Linked DNA regions of Canis lupus familiaris. The protein of the gene in region 2 purifies or fractionates together with the protein of the main gene of each other region. This does not show direct contact. Links are inferred from orthologs where the notes say so. Each region holds a gene or a part of one and is shown on either strand. Other genes may lie near its edges. The genes, in order: G3BP2, AURKB, CDC37, PPP6C and SEC16A.

Region 1 (3,762 bases), on a different chromosome or scaffold from region 2:
ACCATACTGATTGTATAAATAGTCATTTAATACATATTATATAGTTTATATGTATTCTATAATTCTACATTGTATTCTTACAATAAAGTAGGCTAGAGAAAGAAAAATATTACATAAAAAAATACATTTACAGTAACTCTCAGAAAAAAATCATGTGTAAGTGGAGTCATGCAGTTCAAACTTGTGTTGTTCAAGGGTCAACTGTAATTTATTTGAGCTTTGTGTGTGTGTATACACTTTGCCTATCTTTTTAATTTCTTTTCACTTTGCCTATTTAGAAGTAAAAGTCTATTGATACAAATAACAATAGATGACTAAGATTACAGGAATAATATAAAATCTTACTTAGTAATTTCTATGTTAAAATGGCAATGTATCATTTGTTAATCAGTCTTGGTTCTCTGTTGAGTAGCCGTTTCTTGAGTTCCAGTATTTGAATGGTCTACAGTATACTTTATATTAATATAGCATGTTCTATTCTAGAAAATTATATGTAGTCTACATTATATTTTATAGTGTTAAAATAGATATTGCGGGTATCTGGGTAGCTCAGTCATTAAGCATCTGCCTTTGGCTTAGATCCTGATCCCAGAGTCCTGGGATTGAGCCCCAATTGGGCTCTCTGCTCAGTGCTGAGCCTGGTTTCCCTCTGCCTGCCTCTGTCTCTCTCTCTCTCTCTCTCACGAATAAACAAAATTAAAAAAAAAAAAAAAAGATTTTGCATGTGCCATGTAATTTGTTCTTTTTATTCATTGTCACGTTTGTGTGTATTTAATGGAATATTTGGATTTCATTTTCCTGTAGGGATCTGTTCCAAATAAGTTTTATGTTCATAATGATATGTTTCGTTATGAAGATGAAGTGTTTGGTGATTCTGAACCAGAACTTGATGAAGGTGAGGTTAAGATAGGCGGCTTCTATTGGTACTCGTTAAGGGCATGAAAAGTATGAAACTTTATTTATTTATTTATTTATTTATTTATTTTAAGTATGAAACTTAAAAAAAAAAAGTATGAAACTTCAAGAAATTTACTGCTATTGTAACTGAGTCAAGCCCCCTTTTCTTCCTTTTGTTAAAAAGAAATGTGTTCATTGTATGAAATTATATAAAAATCAGACATAGAAAGTAAACCAAATTTCATTCTTATCCTTTATATATAATCAAGAATTTTGTTGAGTCATATCCTTAGCAATATATATTTTTGTAAAAATGGAATTGTGGTGGTTCAAAGCTTTTTTCCACTTAATATATCTTTGTTAACTGTCAATTTTTTGGCTATATCATAATTATTTACTATATGTATATTTGGTTTGATTATACTATTGAATAGATGGGACATAGGAAACTGAGTTATGGTTTAATATCATTTATTTCCTGCCCTTTTCTAATTTTTAGATATTTTTTTAAAAATAGGGACACCTGGGTGGCTCAGTCAGTTAAGTATCGACTCTTGATCTTGGCTCAGGTCATGATCTCATGATCATGAGTTCGACTCTGTGTTGGGCTCCACGTTGGGTGTAGAACCTACATAAAAAAATAATAAAAATGGAGTAAATACCAAAATTCATCTTGCTTGCTCTTTAATTGTTAAGAGAACAGAGAATGCTGCATTTGAGCACCTTAGTGAGAAATAGGTCAATTTTTAAAACTTACCACTTAAACATTAAAAGTATGCATATGAAATTGTTGAGCCTCTTGAAAAAGAAATGTGTGTTATGTATTGTCAGAATCAGAAGATGAGGTAGAAGAGGAACAAGAAGAAAGGCAACCATCTCCAGAACCTGTGCAAGAAAATGCTGATAGTGGTTACTATGAAGCTCACCCCGTGGCGTAAGAATAGTGTTTGCAAGGCCAGATTTGGTCTAAACTATAATGTAGTTGCAAGGTGGTTTTTGTTACTGGAATTACTATTAGAAGTAAATTTTTGATAAAGGTATCAGGCCAGTATTTGAGTACTTTATATATATATATGTAAGAAATTTTAGAAAGAGTTGTTTTATTTACATAACAAATCGAATATGGTTTTGCCCAAAACAGTGTTTACTTACTGATAAGAATAGTTAGGAATACACAGAGCATTTCATTTTTATAAAAACGAGGTTTATTTATAGTTAGTATTCAAGTAAATATTTTTAGTAATTTAACAATCCCATTTTAAAATGGCAGGGTTAAAGAAATGCTGCTTAAGACTATTATTCCCTTCTGCCTTCTTATTGGACTTCTGCTTCAAATCAGCTTATTACCAGTTATGGCCATTAGATTAGAGAAATATTACATTGTTTTATTACAACTGATCATTTCGCTCATACTGAAAAATGAACAAAATATTTTATTTTAGTAATGGCATAGAGGAGCCTTTGGAAGAATCCTCTCATGAACCTGAACCTGAGCCAGACTCTGAAACAAAGACTGAAGAACTAAAGCCACAAGTAGAGGAGAAGAACTTAGAAGAGTTAGAGGAGAAGTCTACTTCTCCTCCTCCTGCAGAACCTGTTTCTCTGCCACAGGAACCACCAAAGGTTAGATCAAAGGAAGTCTTTAGGCCTATAACAGCACACTTTCACATTTGGTGCCATTGATGAAGCATGACCTTTGTTCTCTTATGTTAAATGGTTTAATATAGTAAACTGTGCTTTTTAATGTTTATGGGAGCTGTGGGGTTTTTGTAATCCTGAGGGAATTTCTTTGTATTCATGCCCCGCAACCCCCCAAAATACCCCTGAGAGTGAAACTTATGATTGATCCTTGTCTGTATGCAGTGTTTATTTAGTCTCTTACATGAAATTATTTGAGTCCATGTATAAAGCTGAGAGTTGCTCTTCCATTCTGTATAAGTCCTCTATGCACGGATGCAACTGGAGTCATGAAGTTGCCCAACTTAAACAAGTTGGGCTATTAAAAGAAGAGATACATGTTATTTCTGGTTAAAATGGGAGCAATTTCCTTACTACACCTATTAAACTGTCTTGGAAAGATACGTGACACCCATAGTGTATCATTTAAGCCTACCTAAAACATCTTTTATCTTTCTGTAAAGTAGGTTAAAATATATATGGGTAGTGAGAGGAGATTCCTTGTTTAATTTGTGAATGTCTGTTAAAGTTCCAGTGAGTACTCTTCTTTCCTATCCTTCCCCTCAACACCATCACACACCTTACTTTCCCCCAAAAGGGGAAAGAAATTGGTTCTATTAGGTTCTTATTTTTCTAGCATGTGTAGTTAGTGGTTTTGTTTGCCATTGATCATCTCCTTAGAGCATATAGGAACTTGCTTGTGGATTTATTTAGTAGTTCAGACAAAACAAATAATCTTGCAAAATGAGATTTTGAAAGCTGGCACATAGACTGGCATGTGTGTGTGTGCCTTTCCTTTGAGGAGTCCTCCAATATAGAACAATAGTTTAGAAATGAAAAGAAAATATATATTTGGAAGTTTCCCTATAGGAATGTTGGTGGTTTTCCATGATTAGTAGTCTAGGTTTGTTGCATTTCCTGCAGGCTTTCTCCTGGGCTTCAGTGACCAGTAAAAACCTGCCTCCTAGTGGTACTGTTTCTTCCTCTGGAATTCCACCCCATGTTAAAGCACCAGTCTCACAGGTAACCAATCTGTGAACACATTGGATTGTATCCTTGTTACATTGCCAATTGCTTATCTTTTTTTATACTTCTTTAAATGAGTCAATCAAATTATGGATTAAATATACAAAAAAATTGTATTAAATGTCAGTGCACCCACTTTAAATGCCAAATCTCTATCATCAT
Region 2 (3,174 bases):
AAGGAAATTCTTTTTTTGCTTTTTAAAGATTTTATTTATTTATTCATGAGAGACACAGAGAGAGAGGCAGAGACATAGGCAGAGGGAGAAGCAGGTCCCTGCGGGGAGCCTGATGCGGGACTGGATCCCAGGACCTGGAATCACGCCTGGAGCCGAAGGCAGCTGCTCGGTCACTGAGCCACCCAGGTGCCCCCAGATATGGACTTTAAAACTGGGCTCTGCCACTGTCTGGGTGTGTGATTTTAGGGACTATGTAACTTCTTTGTGCCCTATACTAGATCCTGACCAGAGCAGGAAAATAAACACGGCTTCTAGGGTGCAGCTATGTTCAGTTGGCAGAGACTGAACCAGAAGGAAAGACTAGATGCAGCACATGAGGCAGTGGGAGTCCAGGAGCAGCAGAGGGGAGCCCAGGCCCCAGCAGCCAGGCCCTGGGAGTCAGAGCAGGGAGAAGCAACATGGGGAGGTGCTGAGAACGAGGGTAGGTGGTGCAGTGCCCGCCAGGCCCCATCCTCTCCCTCTGGGGAAGCACCCCCCACCCCCAGCAGTCTCCACCTGTAAGCATCTAAACTCATCCGTATAAAAAGTTTCAGCCTTTATTAAATAAAAAGGAGGTAGAAGACAGGTAAAAACAGGCCAGGCACCCCTTCTTCCAACTACACATATACAGGCAAACAGACAGACACAACCGAATAAGTGATAGGGACAAGTCAGGGGATGGCCTGGACGGCAGAGGGAGGCAGCATCCTCCGAGAGTGGGCCCGGACCCAAGGGTGGGCTGAGACCTGGGACAGGGGCAGCCGTTCTGAAGGGTTGTGCTTGAGTAGCTTGGAGATGAGGTCCTGGGCTCCCGTGGGTACAGAAGGGGGGAATTTCAGGTCCACCTGCAGAAGGAGAGGAAGGAGGGTCCCCTTAGCTCGATCCCAGCTGCTTCCTCCTTGACCACCCCCATTCCATTTGGAGAAATTACACAGGACCCCTGCACCTGCCAGCCCCTGGCCCCCCCTAAGTGGGCACAAAGCCCCAGCCAGGCACTGGGGCACCCTCCCACCTTGACGATGCGCCGATAGGTCTCATTGTGAGAAGCGCTCTCGAATGGCGGGTTGCCCACCAGCAGCTCATAGCAGAGCACCCCGATGCACCACAGGTCCACCTTCTCGTTGTGCATGCGCCCTTCAATCATTTCTGGAGGCAGGTAGTCCAAGGTGCCGCACATCGTCTTCCTCCTGGGTGGGAGGGTGGGGGACCTGGATGAAGACCACCTCCCTCTTTCCCCAGCTGCCCAACAGGGAGCCGGACGACCCCAGGATGTGCCAGGGGAGTGTTTTGACCAAACTCCCGGCAGGGCCCTTGGGCAGGAGTAGGGTGAAGATATAACCTGGAGCCCCAGGGGTAGCATTACACACCCTCTTGGCATTTCCATGGGGAGGGACGTGTCTCAAAATAATCAGATCTAAGAGCAATGCTTTTAGAATTAATCTTAAAATTAACGGGAAAACTGGGTGGGGACGCCTCAAGGTGCATCAGGCATGTCCTGCAGAAATGGACCAGGTTACACATCTAGCTACAATACTGCTACGAGGTCATTACAAATGAGCTGGGCGACACGATGAGTGGGTCCCCCAGTATACCAGGTAGGAAGTCTGGGCAGCAGAATTGTGAGGCTCCTATTTTTGTAAGTCGAGTGCCGCGTCTATAGGTACGCGTGGACGAGCCCACACATGTCTGGGTAACAAGGCCTGGAGTAGTATTATTCTGAATGCCCCCCCCCACCATTCACACCGTACCTTAGGGAGGGGGCGTGCACGGACCAGCCAAAGTCAGCGATCTTCAGCTCTCCCTGGAGCCCCAAGAGCAGATTCTCTGGCTTTATGTCTCTGTGAATCACCTTTTTCCCGTGGCAGTACATCAGAGCATCCGCCAGCTCCTCCATGATCTGGGGGGGCCAACGAATGACAGCAGGTTAGCCAAGGCTGCCCCCGCTACAGCTCCACGCAGCGGACCCCCAGGCTCGGCCCCCTTGGAGGCCCCAAGTGCCCACCCTCCCCGACCGTGGCTGTTCGCTGCTCGTCGAAAGTGTGGCTTTTCTGCAGCTCCTTGTAGAGCTCCCCTCGGGGGGCATACTCCAGAATCAAGTAGATCCTTCTCCGGTCGTAGAAATAGTTGTAGAGACGCAGGATGTTGGGATGCCTGCGGGAGACAGGGACGGGGACTCAGGCGGCATCCTGGCCTAAGGAAATGGGAACGATGACAGTGGCAGGGGGAACACACTGGGGTCACATCTGGACCAGACCAGGGACAGTGGGGCTGGTGGTGGTGAAGGGGAGCCAGAGGTGGCTCTCTGGATTCAAGACTCTGGCTGGGGCTGGGAGCTTAGTGGGAGCTCAGAGGGGCTCTGGGACAGGTACAGAGCAGTCTGGATGGGGCAGGTTGGGTGAAAGAGGAGCTGGGGGAGGAGCAAAGGGCCTGGGGCCAGTGGCAGGGTAGGACTCATACTGCAGATGGGCCTGGATTTCAATCTCCCTGCGCAGCTGGTGTTCCACGCCCTCCTTTTCTATCTGAGACTTGAAGAGGACCTTGAGAGCCACGATGAAATGGCTTTTCTTCTCCCGAGCCAAGTACACATTTCCAAACTTGCCTTTGCCCAGAGGACGCCCAATCTCAAAGTCGTCGATGGTGAAGGACCGCCTGATTGGAGGTGGGGGGGAAGGGGCCAAGTGGTGGCTGGTGGGTCCCCCGAGCTGGCCACATTCTCCCCTGTCCCCCAGCCCGCCTGCCCCTGCTCAGCCCTGCCCCTTTTCCCCAGGGAGTTGAGGATGAGTTAAGGATGGAATTAGACTTTCTCACATTCCTGCATCCATGCTCCTCCCCTGGGTGGCCACCTCTCTCATGTCCCACCTTCTCTTGTGCCACCCCAAGCAAGGCTTGGGTACTCACATTGAGAAGTTGGGTATCCCACTGCTGTTCTCCACCACCTTCTGGCCAGGGGCAGCTAAGGAAGCAACAGGTGAGTTGAGGCCCCGCCTTTGACATTTTCAGCCTTGCACCCTCCCTGGAGACTCTAGTTGCCTCCCCTCAATCCTGTACCACATCCCAGTTACCTGTGGGCTGGCCATTGGAGCGGCTCATGAGGACAAGTGCAGACGGGGTGGCGGGGTCCTTCCGGAGGACTCT
Region 3 (3,762 bases), on a different chromosome or scaffold from region 2:
GAAAGTGAGACTCTGGACTGTCAGCAGTCCTGTGGGGCTAAGTTAGAGAAGGCTCAAGGCTTCCCCATTCTCACCTACTGCGTGCCTGACTCTGCTCAAACTTGGAGATACAGCCTCAGAGAAGGCCCAGAAGTGAGTGAGTGAACCACTCTGGGGCCAGTGGCCAGGATGGTGACGCTAACAGCGGAATGTGTTCATTACGTAGGACTGCGTGCAGTTTCCTGGGAGTAACTCCTTTGATGCTGCGTTTTTCCCAAAGAGGAACTAACTCCAAGGCTAGAAGTGTTTAAGTGTCTTAGCCAAGGTCACGTCACCAGTACGCGGTGGAGCTGGGTGATGTGACAGTGCGGTAACAACCACTCCCAGGTATTGAGCATGTGCTCTGGGTTGGAAATTGATGGAAACACTCGAAGTATGCTTTCTTGTTTGAGCCCCAGAATGGTCAAGAGAGAGAGAGAGATTGTCCCCTTGGATAGTAATGGCAGTCGCCACCACGGGAATGGTGCTTGCCGAGCATCCAGCATGGCTCTGGACTGTCTACTTTGACTTAAATCTCCTTTGCTTCTCCTGGTGCCGCTCGGTGAGGTCGGTACTGTTGTCTGCCTTTGACAGATGAGGAAACGGAGGTCCCTAGAGGTCAGGGGATTGACCCAAGGACCCCAGCCTATACTCAGTAGCCACGGCTTATGACTCCACATCTGGGGCCCTGAGGCTGTTCTCCAGTGTCTTATCATGCTGTCTGATGATCTTAAAGGGGGCTTTGAGGCACAGTGATGGGGAATGGGGGGCCCTTGGGGAAGGCTCTGTAGAAGCTGAGACCTGGGGCCAAAGGACATGGAGTGAGAGGAAGAGAGTTCCAGGTAGAAGGAGCAGCCTTTGCAGAGTCCAAGAGTCAAGAGCGAGCTGGTGCATTTGGGATCTGCCTGCAACCTAGAATTGGGAAAGGAGAATGGGACCCTGGCCCCCTGGGGCCTTGGTGCCACTTGGGCAGCTTGGAGTAAGGCTTTGGGATCCCATCTGAGCGTAGACGCTCCAGGTTGGGGTGGCAAGAAGGGCTGCAGACAGATGTGCGAATTTCCAAGACTGGCAGTCTAGCTTGGAACAGCTGTGGAAGGTGGTGGCACCTCTCAGGGCTCAGTCAGGGGCTTTGGATTGAGCAGGCACTGCTGAGAGCTGGGGGAGATGATGGAGCAAAGCAAGGGTGGAGGACAGACAGGGCCATGTCATGTTGTAGAGAGTCTTGTGGGGACCGGAGCGAGAGGGGGAACGAGGGCACCATCTGAACTTGGGGTGCAACAGCAGAGGAGGTCTGGGGAGCAACAGCTGGGGTAGGGGGGACAGGAGGCCGGTGGGCACCGAGCTAAGGCTCAGGGTGGGTGTGCTGGCCCGGAGACATAGCTGATGGGGCCTTGGGCAGCCATCCAGGAGTAGTTCTCTGGGTGGACCAAATTGGAGAGACTTCTAGAAGCGAAAGCTGTCAGGACTGGGTAGGAAAGAGGGAGGAAAGGACAGGACCAGTGAACAGGCCTCAGTGGGGGGCATCGGAGGTTGTTGGGCAAGGGAGGGCACCTGAGTGTCACTGAGGGCGGCTCCGGGGAGGACGAGTGGCCTGAGACCCCCATCCAGTATTTCCTTACTTTATTCATCCAACAAGTGTCTCCTGAGCCTTGACTGTGCACTTGTGTGTGAGACACAAGTGAGCAGATCCCCCATCTCTAGGGACCCCACTCCTCAGAGAGGGACAGTGTTGAGAACAGTAAATAATTGTCACCAGGTTGCCACCAGATGCTAGCAGGTAATGAGTGCTGAGGAGGAAGGTGAAACAGGGCACAAGTAAGGGGAGGTTGCCATCTTCATTCAGCAGGGTGGTCAGGGAAGGGCCTCATCTGTAAAGTGATGTTTGAGCCAAGATGGCAAGGATGTGAGGGAGTAAGCTGGTTTGGGTGCCAGTGGGGGGAGTCTGGAGAGAGAACTTTCCAGGCTGGGGCAACAGCTAGTGCAAAGGCCCTGAGTTTAGAAGTGGGTTCAAGAAAAGACAAAGCAGCTACTGTGACTGGAGGGAGGGGGCAGATTGTGCAGGGCCTTGTAGGTCATAGATAGGACTTGGTTTTCTGCTCTGAGTGACATGGATGCCACAGAGCCTTCTGAGCAGGGTTGGGGGTGGACACACACAAAGTAAGGTGTGTGCAGGTATCCTGGTGGGATGGAAGCTGCCCCCCCAGGGGGGCACAGAGGGTGGTGCACACATTCCCTGAGGCCATCCCAGGTGCAGGGGGTGGGAGCCCTGGGTGGGGCAGGGCCGAGGTCAAGGGACCAGCCTTTCCCCGGAGTGCAGGGCTTGTGTCTGCCCGCAGGCCCGGGTGGAGCGCATGGAGCAGTTCCAGAAGGAGAAGGAGGAGCTGGACAGGGGCTGCCGCGAGTGCAGGCGCAAGGTGGCTGAGTGCCAGCGGAAGCTGAAGGAGCTGGAGGTGGCCGAGGGCGAGGGCAGCAAGGTGGAGCTGGAACGGCTGCAGGCCGAGGCTCAGCAGCTGCGCAAGGAGGAGCGGAGCTGGGAGCAGAAGCTGGAGGAGATGCGCAAGAAGGAGAAGAGCATGCCCTGGAACGTGGACACGCTCAGCAAGGACGGTTTCAGCAAGGTGGGAGGGGGCCAGCAGGGTTCCCCCCATGCAGGGGCTGGTGGGGTAGGTGGGGGTAAGGCCTGGACAGCTCAAGGGAGGGACGCCCTGGCATGGAGAGGGTGGAGGGACAGGTGTGGGGCTGGGTGGATGAAGCACCCCACTGGTACCCCCCTCTGATCTGCCCGAAGGCCCTAGTTCGAGGCCACACCTGCCACACCCACGCTCCCGCCACACTGATGCTCATGGCGCCGTCACCACCTCCGCCGTGGAAGGGATGGGCGCTGCGGCCTCGGCCCACCCGGCCGTGCTGGAGGCGCTCTGCGGCCTCGCCCCAGCCCACTCCCCCTCTCGCCCCATCACAGAGCATGGTCAATACCAAACCAGAGCAGGCGGAGGAGGAGTCGGAGGAGGTGAGGGAGCAGAAACACAAAACCTTCGTGGAGAAGTACGAGAAACAGATCAAGCACTTTGGTGAGTTGGGCCGTTGGAGGGGGCCGGCAGGCTAAGGTTAGGAGGTTACACAGGACAGGGGCTGGTCCTCTGCCTCTGGGGCCCCTCAGCACCTTGCCAACACCTTCTCGTAGGCATGCTCCGCCGCTGGGATGACAGCCAGAAGTACCTATCAGACAATGTCCACCTGGTGTGCGAGGAGACAGCCAACTACCTGGTCATCTGGTGCATTGACCTAGAGGTGGAGGAGGTGAGTGGAGTCTACCCCGGGACTAGGGGAAAGCCCTGCCCTGAGGCCACCACTTGGTGACATCCTACCTCTTCTCCCTTGGCAGAAATGTGCACTCATGGAGCAAGTGGCCCACCAGACCATTGTCATGCAGTTCATCCTGGAGCTGGCTAAGAGCCTGAAGGTGGATCCCCGTGCCTGCTTCCGGCAGTTCTTCACTAAGATCAAGGTAGTGTCCCCGAGGAGCCAGGGTCGGGTGGGGTGTGGGCCTCTTCAAGGCACCAGCCTCCATCTACAGGGGGTATATACAAAGGTCCATTCAGACTTGGGGCCGTGGGATCAGAACCTGTTCGATCAGGGGAGGCTGGAGACATGGAGGGGCCAGTAGTCAGCCCCCGGTTTGAAAGACGGGGTGTGTGGACAGTCCCGACGTGGGGTGAGGGACAGAGTCAAGGATGCCTTAGG
Region 4 (3,762 bases), on a different chromosome or scaffold from region 2:
TTGGGGCTCAGTCCCATGACCCTGAGATCAGTACCTGAGCCAAAACCATGAGTTGGACACTCAACTGACTGAGCCACCCAGGCGCCCTGAGAAGTATGGTCTCAAAGGGAAGGGCTTCACGTAGATAGAAATGGACAGCAAATATTTTGGACAAATAATAGTCTACCACTTGACTGAGATTTGAACATTTCATTTATTTGCTTGCTAATTTTAAGAAGGTAGGAAAATTTTATTTAAACTTCTAAAGTTTTTTTTTTAACTTCAAGCAAGTAATAACTTCAGATTTATGAAATATTGTTATAAAGGGCAGTGTTTTATTTCTTTGAGTAGTTAACATTTAAATTTCAGTTTTGTTCACTATGACTAAGATTCTTGTATGTTTTAAGTGTTAGAAATTGAATAATTTTATTTTCAAGTATAAAAGATGATTGTATAGGAAGTGATTAGTTATAGTTGGTACAGTAAATTATAGTAAATTCCTTTAATCCAAAATCCTTAGAAAAACTGAAGTTTTCTTTAGGAATTAGGATTAAGATAATCTAGTTGACTGAAGTTACCACATGTACAATTTGTCAATTACTAATTTTCAGTCACATAGAAAATGATGAAATATACAGTTCTTTTTTACTGATTATTGAGAAGACATTCCATAGCTATAGAGCCTCCAAAGTAGAATGTGGGAGGGTAGGTTGATCTGCTTTTCATGGTAACTGTGAAGTGTCGTGTAAATTCATTCTTTGAAAAAAATTCTTACCCACTTGCTTCCTTATCTTTTGTCTCATTAAAATAGATGCTGAGTATGGGTGGGGTGGTTAGCTTAGCTTATTAACAAGTTAGATAATTGATCAGTTATTTCAAATTCTCAAGTGATAGGGCACCTGGCTGACTCAGTCAATGGAGCATGTGACTCTTGATCTTGGGGTCATGAGTTCAAGCCTCATGTTGGGCATAGAGATTACTTAAAAAAATTCTAGATGACAAGATAAATGAAAGAAATTTGAGGGAGAAGGCCTATAACATTAATGATCTAGGAATGACCTTATTGGTAATTGTGAGATTTATTTTAGTGCTTCTATTAGGCTTGAGAGCTCTGTGCTTGGCAGTTTTGCTTACACTTTATTTCTTTTTATAAGTGTCAGTATTTCAGGCCTTCCTAATTACATGCTCCTTTACACATTTCGCTCTCACTTTTATTATTTTACTCCTTTACAGGAATTTGTAATTAATCAGCATATATTGACTTTCTTTTATAGTTTTATGACCTTTGCGAACTATTCAGAACTGGAGGTCAGGTTCCTGACACAAACTACATATTTATGGTATGTAAACCCACATGATACCAAATACTTATTTAAAATGGAAAGCATCTGATTTATTACATGGAAATTATATAACAATTTCTTTGTCATATGACAATCACTTTGTAAATATATGAAAAGGTGATGCTATACTTTTCTACATTTTGCCATCTTGTCTGGTTGAAAATGATTGCTTTAGTAAATTGCCATATGCATAGGACTGGGTTCTAGGCATAAGTAATGGTTGGCAGAAAAATAACCCAGAACCTCCCAGGATTAAGGCACAGAGCTTTAATTTACTGTTATTTTATCATATCTTCTTGAGCATTCATTTTCATCTGTTATCAATTTGTAGATTGATGAATATATGAACATACATATTTGCTATTAAGGTGGATATTTGCTTACTTTCCTTTTGGAATGTCATGTTACTATTGAATTTTTTATGAATCCTATCATTTTCTTTCTTCTAGAGGTTTGTGTGTCACTTTCCTATTCTTTGAGCTGTTTTCCTATTGATCTAACAACATTGTCCCAAATAAAATACTAATGGGAAGTGTAAGTAGTATGGCTTCACAAGCAGTTGTTAAATACACAACTGAACCTAAAACACTAATTAAGGTATATACTTTTATAAAAACACTATTTCTTCAAGTTGTTAGGTTTTTTTATATAGTTACAATGATTTTTGGGATGCCTGGCTGGGTCAGTCAGGAGAGTGTGTGACTTGATCTCAGGGTCATGAGTTTGAGCCCCACTTTGGGTGTAGAGATTACTTAAACATTTAAAAATAATAATTAAATGATTTTTGAAATTCATTAAAAAATTTTGGATTCACATGTGACCTTTTTGAAACACCTGCTAATGTAGGTAATAGAGAATTAGAAAAATGGTGGTTTTTCAGGGAAGATCCTTCAGAGAATTGGATAGCAGGTTCCTGTAGGCCTCCTGAATCATAAGACTGGCACACTTAGTAGAGACTGCTTATTTACTTCGATTTGAATTTTTTGTTAAAACCCAATTTCCAAATAAATCAATGTATGACCCTTCAATTTTGTTATTTTTTTTTTTTTGCCATGTCTCTGAGTTTGTACACCTTGGTATAATTTAAAAAATACATTGTTGCTATTATTTCTAACTGTAAACTTTTACTTTACAGGGTGATTTTGTAGACAGAGGTTACTATAGTTTGGAGACCTTCACTTACCTTCTTGCACTAAAGGCTAAATGGCCTGATCGTATCACACTTTTGCGAGGAAATCATGAAAGTAGACAGATAACACAGGTGTATGGATTTTATGGTAAGACTTTCTATTTCTCTGATTCTCTGAATATTGCTTTCCTTTCCTCTTTGGGAAAAAAGCCATACAAGTCATACATGTGCTTTATATAAAGTTAGAAATATAAATCATCTTTTTCCACTTTTTAACTCCTCCTCTTCCCCCATTCAACTGAGAACCTTACCATGGAGAGAGAACTGTTCTTAATTTTTTGATGTACATCATCCTGGATCATTGCCCTAAAGTGTAGCCCTCAGTTTACATCATTGGAATCATCAGGGGTACTTGTTAAACATGTACATTGCTGGGCCCCCACTGAAAACCTGTTGGAGTGGGAATCCTAGAATCTGCTGAAGGTAAATGTTCTGCACTTGAAAGTTGAGAACCTATTATATATTATATGTATATGTGTGTGTATGTGTGTGTTTATAAACATATTTGTGTGTGTACATACCTGCTTTTTTCACTTAATGCTGTGACCAGCCTTTCTTTACTTCATTGACATTATTTTTATAGTTGCATTATATTACACTGTATGGATGTACTATAATTGATTAAATCAGTACCTTTAACATTGGACATTGGAGTTGGGTTTTTTTTTTTTTTTTTGGAGTTGTTTTTAAGTTGCTGACATATATAATATTGTATGTGTATAACATATATAATTATGTATATATATGTGTGTGTATCCATATGTTCCATCCAGAGAGTGCTAGGACCTCAGGGGTCAGAAACAGAACTTAGCCATTAAAAGCAAAATATATCTGCTTCTATAAAACTTGTATATGGTTGAAAGTTTTAAAAAATGAAGTTAGGAAAAAAAATTAGGTTACAAAGCTCTTTGAAGGAGATAGAGAGCAGGACTGTTGAGGTTATTAACATGAATTTTCCTTAAGCTTAATTAAGGCATATATTGAGATATTTGAAAATATTAATCTCATAACCCTTTAGTTTCAGATTTTATATTTTGGATTCTCTTATGTCATTATAAAGATGAGCTAAACTCTTATTTGTAAGCCACTATCAATTACTAAATTGAGAAATTTTGATAATTTATTATTATATGTTAATAGTAATTGATAAGTTAGATGGCTAATATTTGTCCCCTTTTTACAAGTTACTTTTGATTTTCATTCACAAAATAACAAGTACCATTTAAAATAAAAGTTTTTGATTCTTTTGCA
Region 5 (3,762 bases), on a different chromosome or scaffold from region 2:
CAACGAGTGGCAGATTCTGGCATTGTTCTGGACTAAGCAGTGGCGAGCAGGCTGGGAATGTCCTGTGGGACCTCCTCAACACAGTCTGTCGCCCTGCGTCCTATGCTGGGTGGATTTAGGTGTCAGGGACGCTTACCTTATTCTTCATACGCTATACTTCAGTTTATCTAAAATATGGAGAAACAAGGAAGCAGCAGGTGTGTGTGTTCTCAAACCCGCCACTCTGAGCTCCACGGTGGAGGCGACACAGTCTGCACGCTCACAACGGGTCAGAGCGTCATATTTTAGCCCAGGCCCATGCACACTCTGAATTAAACTTGTGTTTCCTTAACGATGCTGGCCATTAAGGGACACCTGGGCAGCCTAGTGGGTTGAGCATCTGACTCTTGGTTTCGGCTTAAGCCAAGATCTGAGCTGTGGGATTGAGCCCCAAGTCAGGGCCCTTTAGAGAGTCTGCTTGGGTCTCCCTCTGCTCCTCCCCCGAGTGCCTGCTCTCACTGTTTCTAAAATGGATACATCTTGAAAAAACAACAACAAAAAAACCACCAGAAACCACTAACCATTAAAAAAAATTCGATATGCTGAACTGCATGAAAATTAAGAATGTGTCCTACGTAAGCTAACATTGAGAGTAAAAAGGTGGTCTGCAGACTGAGGGAAGATCCTGGTGACGCACACATCTCACAGAGGACTCGTGGCCAGGACATGAAAGCGGGTGAGACACAAGCCAACACTACAAAGGAAAACACACAGGTGGTAACGGCACATGACAAAGGTGCTGGGCAAGGAAGCAAAGCGAGAGCATTAGGAAGCACCATGAGCCCCCGCTGAGAGGCTGCTGTGGAAAGGCCCGACAACCCAGTGCGCATGGGGAACAAGGATCGCCCTGCTGGTGACAAGGAATGACTGGGCCCCTCCGGCTCTGCTGGGGGGAAGGTCACCCAGTACAACCGTCCAGGAAAATGGCCTGGAGGCACCTCCCTGAGAGAAACGAGCGCTTTCGCCAACAGAAGACAGAGAACGCTCACATGGGTTTCACGTAATGACCCCAAACTGAAAAACCGCAAATGTCCATTACTGGAAAAAAGGACGAACAAAATTATAGCACCTACATAAAACAGATACTATTATACAATGACTTAAAAATTAAGCACTGTTATAGGAAGTTCTGGTATAAGAGAAACTAATGGTGACAAAAGTCAGAGAAGGCCATCTGTTAGGGGTGGGCCTTGACAGGCCCTGGATACAGAGCCTTCTGGGAGGCTGGCCCTGCTCCAGCTATGCTCTGGGTGGTGGTTATACGGGGACAGACACACAAACACACATTAAGCTGTGCACACCTCCCTGTCCGCATAGCACGCTTCCAATGCCTTTGTCCCACTGCCAGTGTAGGAGGAAAGTTGTCTGTGGGAGCTGAGCCCCCTCCCCAGGCGCCCCCACCCTGCTGGAGGTGGGCTCTGTGTCACCTTCTTAGGCTCCTTGGCCTCTTTCCTGGCTGCTTGTGTAGGTCTCTTCACTTCGGGAGCGGACGTCAGTGGTGGCTGCAGAGCACCTGAGCTGGCACACTCCCACCCTGGAGGGACCTCAGAGTCCTGGGACATCCTGGAGGGGCCCTGTCCCAAGGCAAGAGGGGACAGGTTCACCTGGGGCACCTCCCCAGGACCCTTTAAAGCATTACCAAGGGGCCATATCACTAGCGACAAGAGCAGAGTGAGGAGGGCAGGAGGCAGCTGCCCCTGCCTCCGGACCTGCTCTTACAAGCAACCTGGTCAAGGCACGTGGCAGGACTCATAACGTGCCAAGGCACGTGGCAGGGGGACCATGGAGTCCAGGAGGCACCCATGGGCTGGAAGAAGGGGTGTGCATGTGAGCACCAATGGGCTGCTGGGCAGAGAGGGGCAGGGAACATTTTAAAACACAAGATTCTTTTTTTTTTCTTTAAAATACACATGGCTGAGTGAAGACTGTCTCTTTTATAAACTCTTTTTACGTGAAAATAAAGCATTTTCATGGCAGAACACATAAGGAAAGTTTAAAGTACAGTAAGTGCCTGTGACAGCGTGGCCACAAAGGCCTGGGTTTGTGGGAAGAAGGCTGCGGGACCCACGGCGCAGAAAACCAGGTGTCCCTCTCCGCTGGGGCCAGAGCAGCAGACCCGGTATGTCTACCCAACACGTCTAAGAAACTCGGTGATTTCAGGACAACCAGTGCGTTTCCGGGATTCTACTGCAGAGAAAGGGGTGCAGAACCTGGGAGGCCTCTACGTTTTAGAGAAGGGACTGTCTGTACACCAAGTGATCATCCTCCTCAGCAGTTTCCACCGACCGTTCACACTGTGAGGGTTCGAGCTACCTTACAAGTGCTCTCCTGCTGAGGAGCAACTTCAAAGATAATCTTGTTTACACCGTTCTCCCCCTACTCACAACTGGAGAACAAGTTTGGGCTCCTGATCAACGCAACTTATGGAAAACAAAGAGCTTAGGGGAAAAAAGTGGGAGGGTACCAGATTAGCAAATTTTCCACCAAAACCCTCTTCTCTCAGCTCCAGAAGTGAGTTTCTACCAAGCGCCTCTGGTGGCAACACCCCTGTCAAGAGAAGAGAGAACTGCCGTGGTCTCTATGCTGACACAGCACAGAGACCACAGCACATGGCAGACGGACGCGCTCACAATACAGCAGTGCTCGGAGCCCAAAACCAGAGATGTTCCCAAAATAGCTTCCTTTTGAAAGCCAGGCCAGTGTTTTGCTTTGTTTGTGGGTGCACAGGCAGGCAGGCGCCCACCGGCACAAGAACCATATCAATTGTGGAGGAGGCTTTGGCCTGGGCACAGCTCAAGGCCAGCTTGCCACAGCTGGATGCCCACTTACCCTCCTTACTCTAACACGCAGCCACATCACAAAACAAATGAGCACTGACATCCATGAGCCACCCAGCCTACCGCTTCCAGGATCCTCAGCATGCCCTGGCTAGGGAACTTGTCTCAAGTCCAAATGACTTATGGCTTTTCCACCAATCCTCTCCTTGAATGCCAAACCCACTACAGTTCTGCTCTCGGGGTGGCATCAAGCAGGCCTACCTGGGTCCTGGGTCCTGGCCTCCTGCTCACTTCCCTGCAGAGGTGGCACACCAGGTGGCAGGCCAGGCCCCAGGTACGGAGCCACAGGGTCAGGCCCAGAGGGCTCTGGAAAGCCAAGGGCAGCCCCTTGGGGTCCACAGCTAGGCCCCAGCTCAACAGGGCCCTCAGGTGGCAGCACCGGGAACAGTGGCACCCTGGCAGGGACGACTGGCTGGCTGGCAGGGAGCGTTGACGGAGCTGCAGCAAGAGAGCAGAGAACAGAAGCCTGCCGTCACTGGTGCTAACTCCAATCACTTGAAGAAGCTAACTGGTGGTGGCCAAAAGTTTATCACATCCTTTTGTGCGGCCACGTTTCTTTTGTTACGGGCCCAGGGAGCAAATCGTCAAGACAGAAAGTGCTGACGATGCCAGGGCATCAGTGATTTGGGGAAAAGCAGAACACAAACTTTTAAGGTCAAGAGGAGGATGTCATTAAATGTTACATGGGGCCCAGGCTTTAAGACTCAGCGAGACCCCAATGCAGCCTGGGGAACAGCTGCCTGCAACAGAACTCAGTGTTCGTGGATCCCTCCCCACCACCTTCCTTCTCCTCCGCCAGGGCTCAGTAGGTCACCCACCCAGTGAGACAGATGTCTAAGGCCGTAGGACCTGACAGGCTCACGAAGGGCGCCAACCCCAGGGAGAG

Evidence for each region.
Region 1: the proteins of AURKB (region 2) and G3BP2 purify together in Homo sapiens (affinity purification with mass spectrometry; 3 studies listed by BioGRID and IntAct, with this or other methods). This does not show direct contact. The link is inferred for Canis lupus familiaris from reciprocal best matches to the Homo sapiens genes AURKB and G3BP2.
Region 3: the proteins of AURKB (region 2) and CDC37 purify together in Homo sapiens (affinity purification with mass spectrometry; 7 studies listed by BioGRID and IntAct, counting the BioPlex papers as one, with this or other methods). This does not show direct contact. The link is inferred for Canis lupus familiaris from reciprocal best matches to the Homo sapiens genes AURKB and CDC37.
Region 4: the proteins of AURKB (region 2) and PPP6C purify together in Homo sapiens (affinity purification with mass spectrometry, with the first as the bait; 3 studies listed by BioGRID). This does not show direct contact. The link is inferred for Canis lupus familiaris from reciprocal best matches to the Homo sapiens genes AURKB and PPP6C.
Region 5: the proteins of AURKB (region 2) and SEC16A purify together in Homo sapiens (affinity purification with mass spectrometry; 3 studies listed by BioGRID and IntAct, with this or other methods). This does not show direct contact. The link is inferred for Canis lupus familiaris from reciprocal best matches to the Homo sapiens genes AURKB and SEC16A.

What each region holds. Positions count from the first base shown.
Region 1 is NC_049253.1:39,960,774-39,964,535, forward strand, and holds part of G3BP2 (ras GTPase-activating protein-binding protein 2), read left to right. Parts: intron 1-804; coding exon 805-895; intron 896-1,728; coding exon 1,729-1,831; intron 1,832-2,339; coding exon 2,340-2,520; intron 2,521-3,498; coding exon 3,499-3,597; intron 3,598-3,762.
Region 2 is NC_049226.1:33,219,065-33,222,238, forward strand, and holds the end of AURKB (aurora kinase B), read right to left. Parts: coding exon 3,102-3,174; intron 2,993-3,101; coding exon 2,938-2,992; intron 2,689-2,937; coding exon 2,497-2,688; intron 2,191-2,496; coding exon 2,052-2,190; coding exon of another isoform or gene 2,042-2,051; intron 1,937-2,041; coding exon 1,788-1,936; intron 1,227-1,787; coding exon 1,052-1,226; intron 885-1,051; coding exon 711-884; 3' UTR 581-710; downstream 1-580. UniProt on the Homo sapiens protein: Serine/threonine-protein kinase component of the chromosomal passenger complex (CPC), a complex that acts as a key regulator of mitosis.
Region 3 is NC_049241.1:51,128,695-51,132,456, forward strand, and holds part of CDC37 (hsp90 co-chaperone Cdc37), read left to right. Parts: intron 1-2,354; coding exon 2,355-2,636; intron 2,637-2,980; coding exon 2,981-3,089; intron 3,090-3,202; coding exon 3,203-3,318; intron 3,319-3,403; coding exon 3,404-3,526; intron 3,527-3,762. UniProt on the Homo sapiens protein: Co-chaperone that binds to numerous kinases and promotes their interaction with the Hsp90 complex, resulting in stabilization and promotion of their activity. Inhibits HSP90AA1 ATPase activity.
Region 4 is NC_049230.1:57,997,731-58,001,492, forward strand, and holds part of PPP6C (serine/threonine-protein phosphatase 6 catalytic subunit), read left to right. Parts: intron 1-1,253; coding exon 1,254-1,319; intron 1,320-2,457; coding exon 2,458-2,599; intron 2,600-3,762.
Region 5 is NC_049230.1:49,049,906-49,053,667, reverse strand, and holds part of SEC16A (protein transport protein Sec16A), read right to left. Parts: intron 3,315-3,762; coding exon 3,078-3,314; intron 2,587-3,077; coding exon 2,504-2,586; intron 1,614-2,503; coding exon 1,467-1,613; intron 1-1,466. UniProt on the Homo sapiens protein: Acts as a molecular scaffold that plays a key role in the organization of the endoplasmic reticulum exit sites (ERES), also known as transitional endoplasmic reticulum (tER).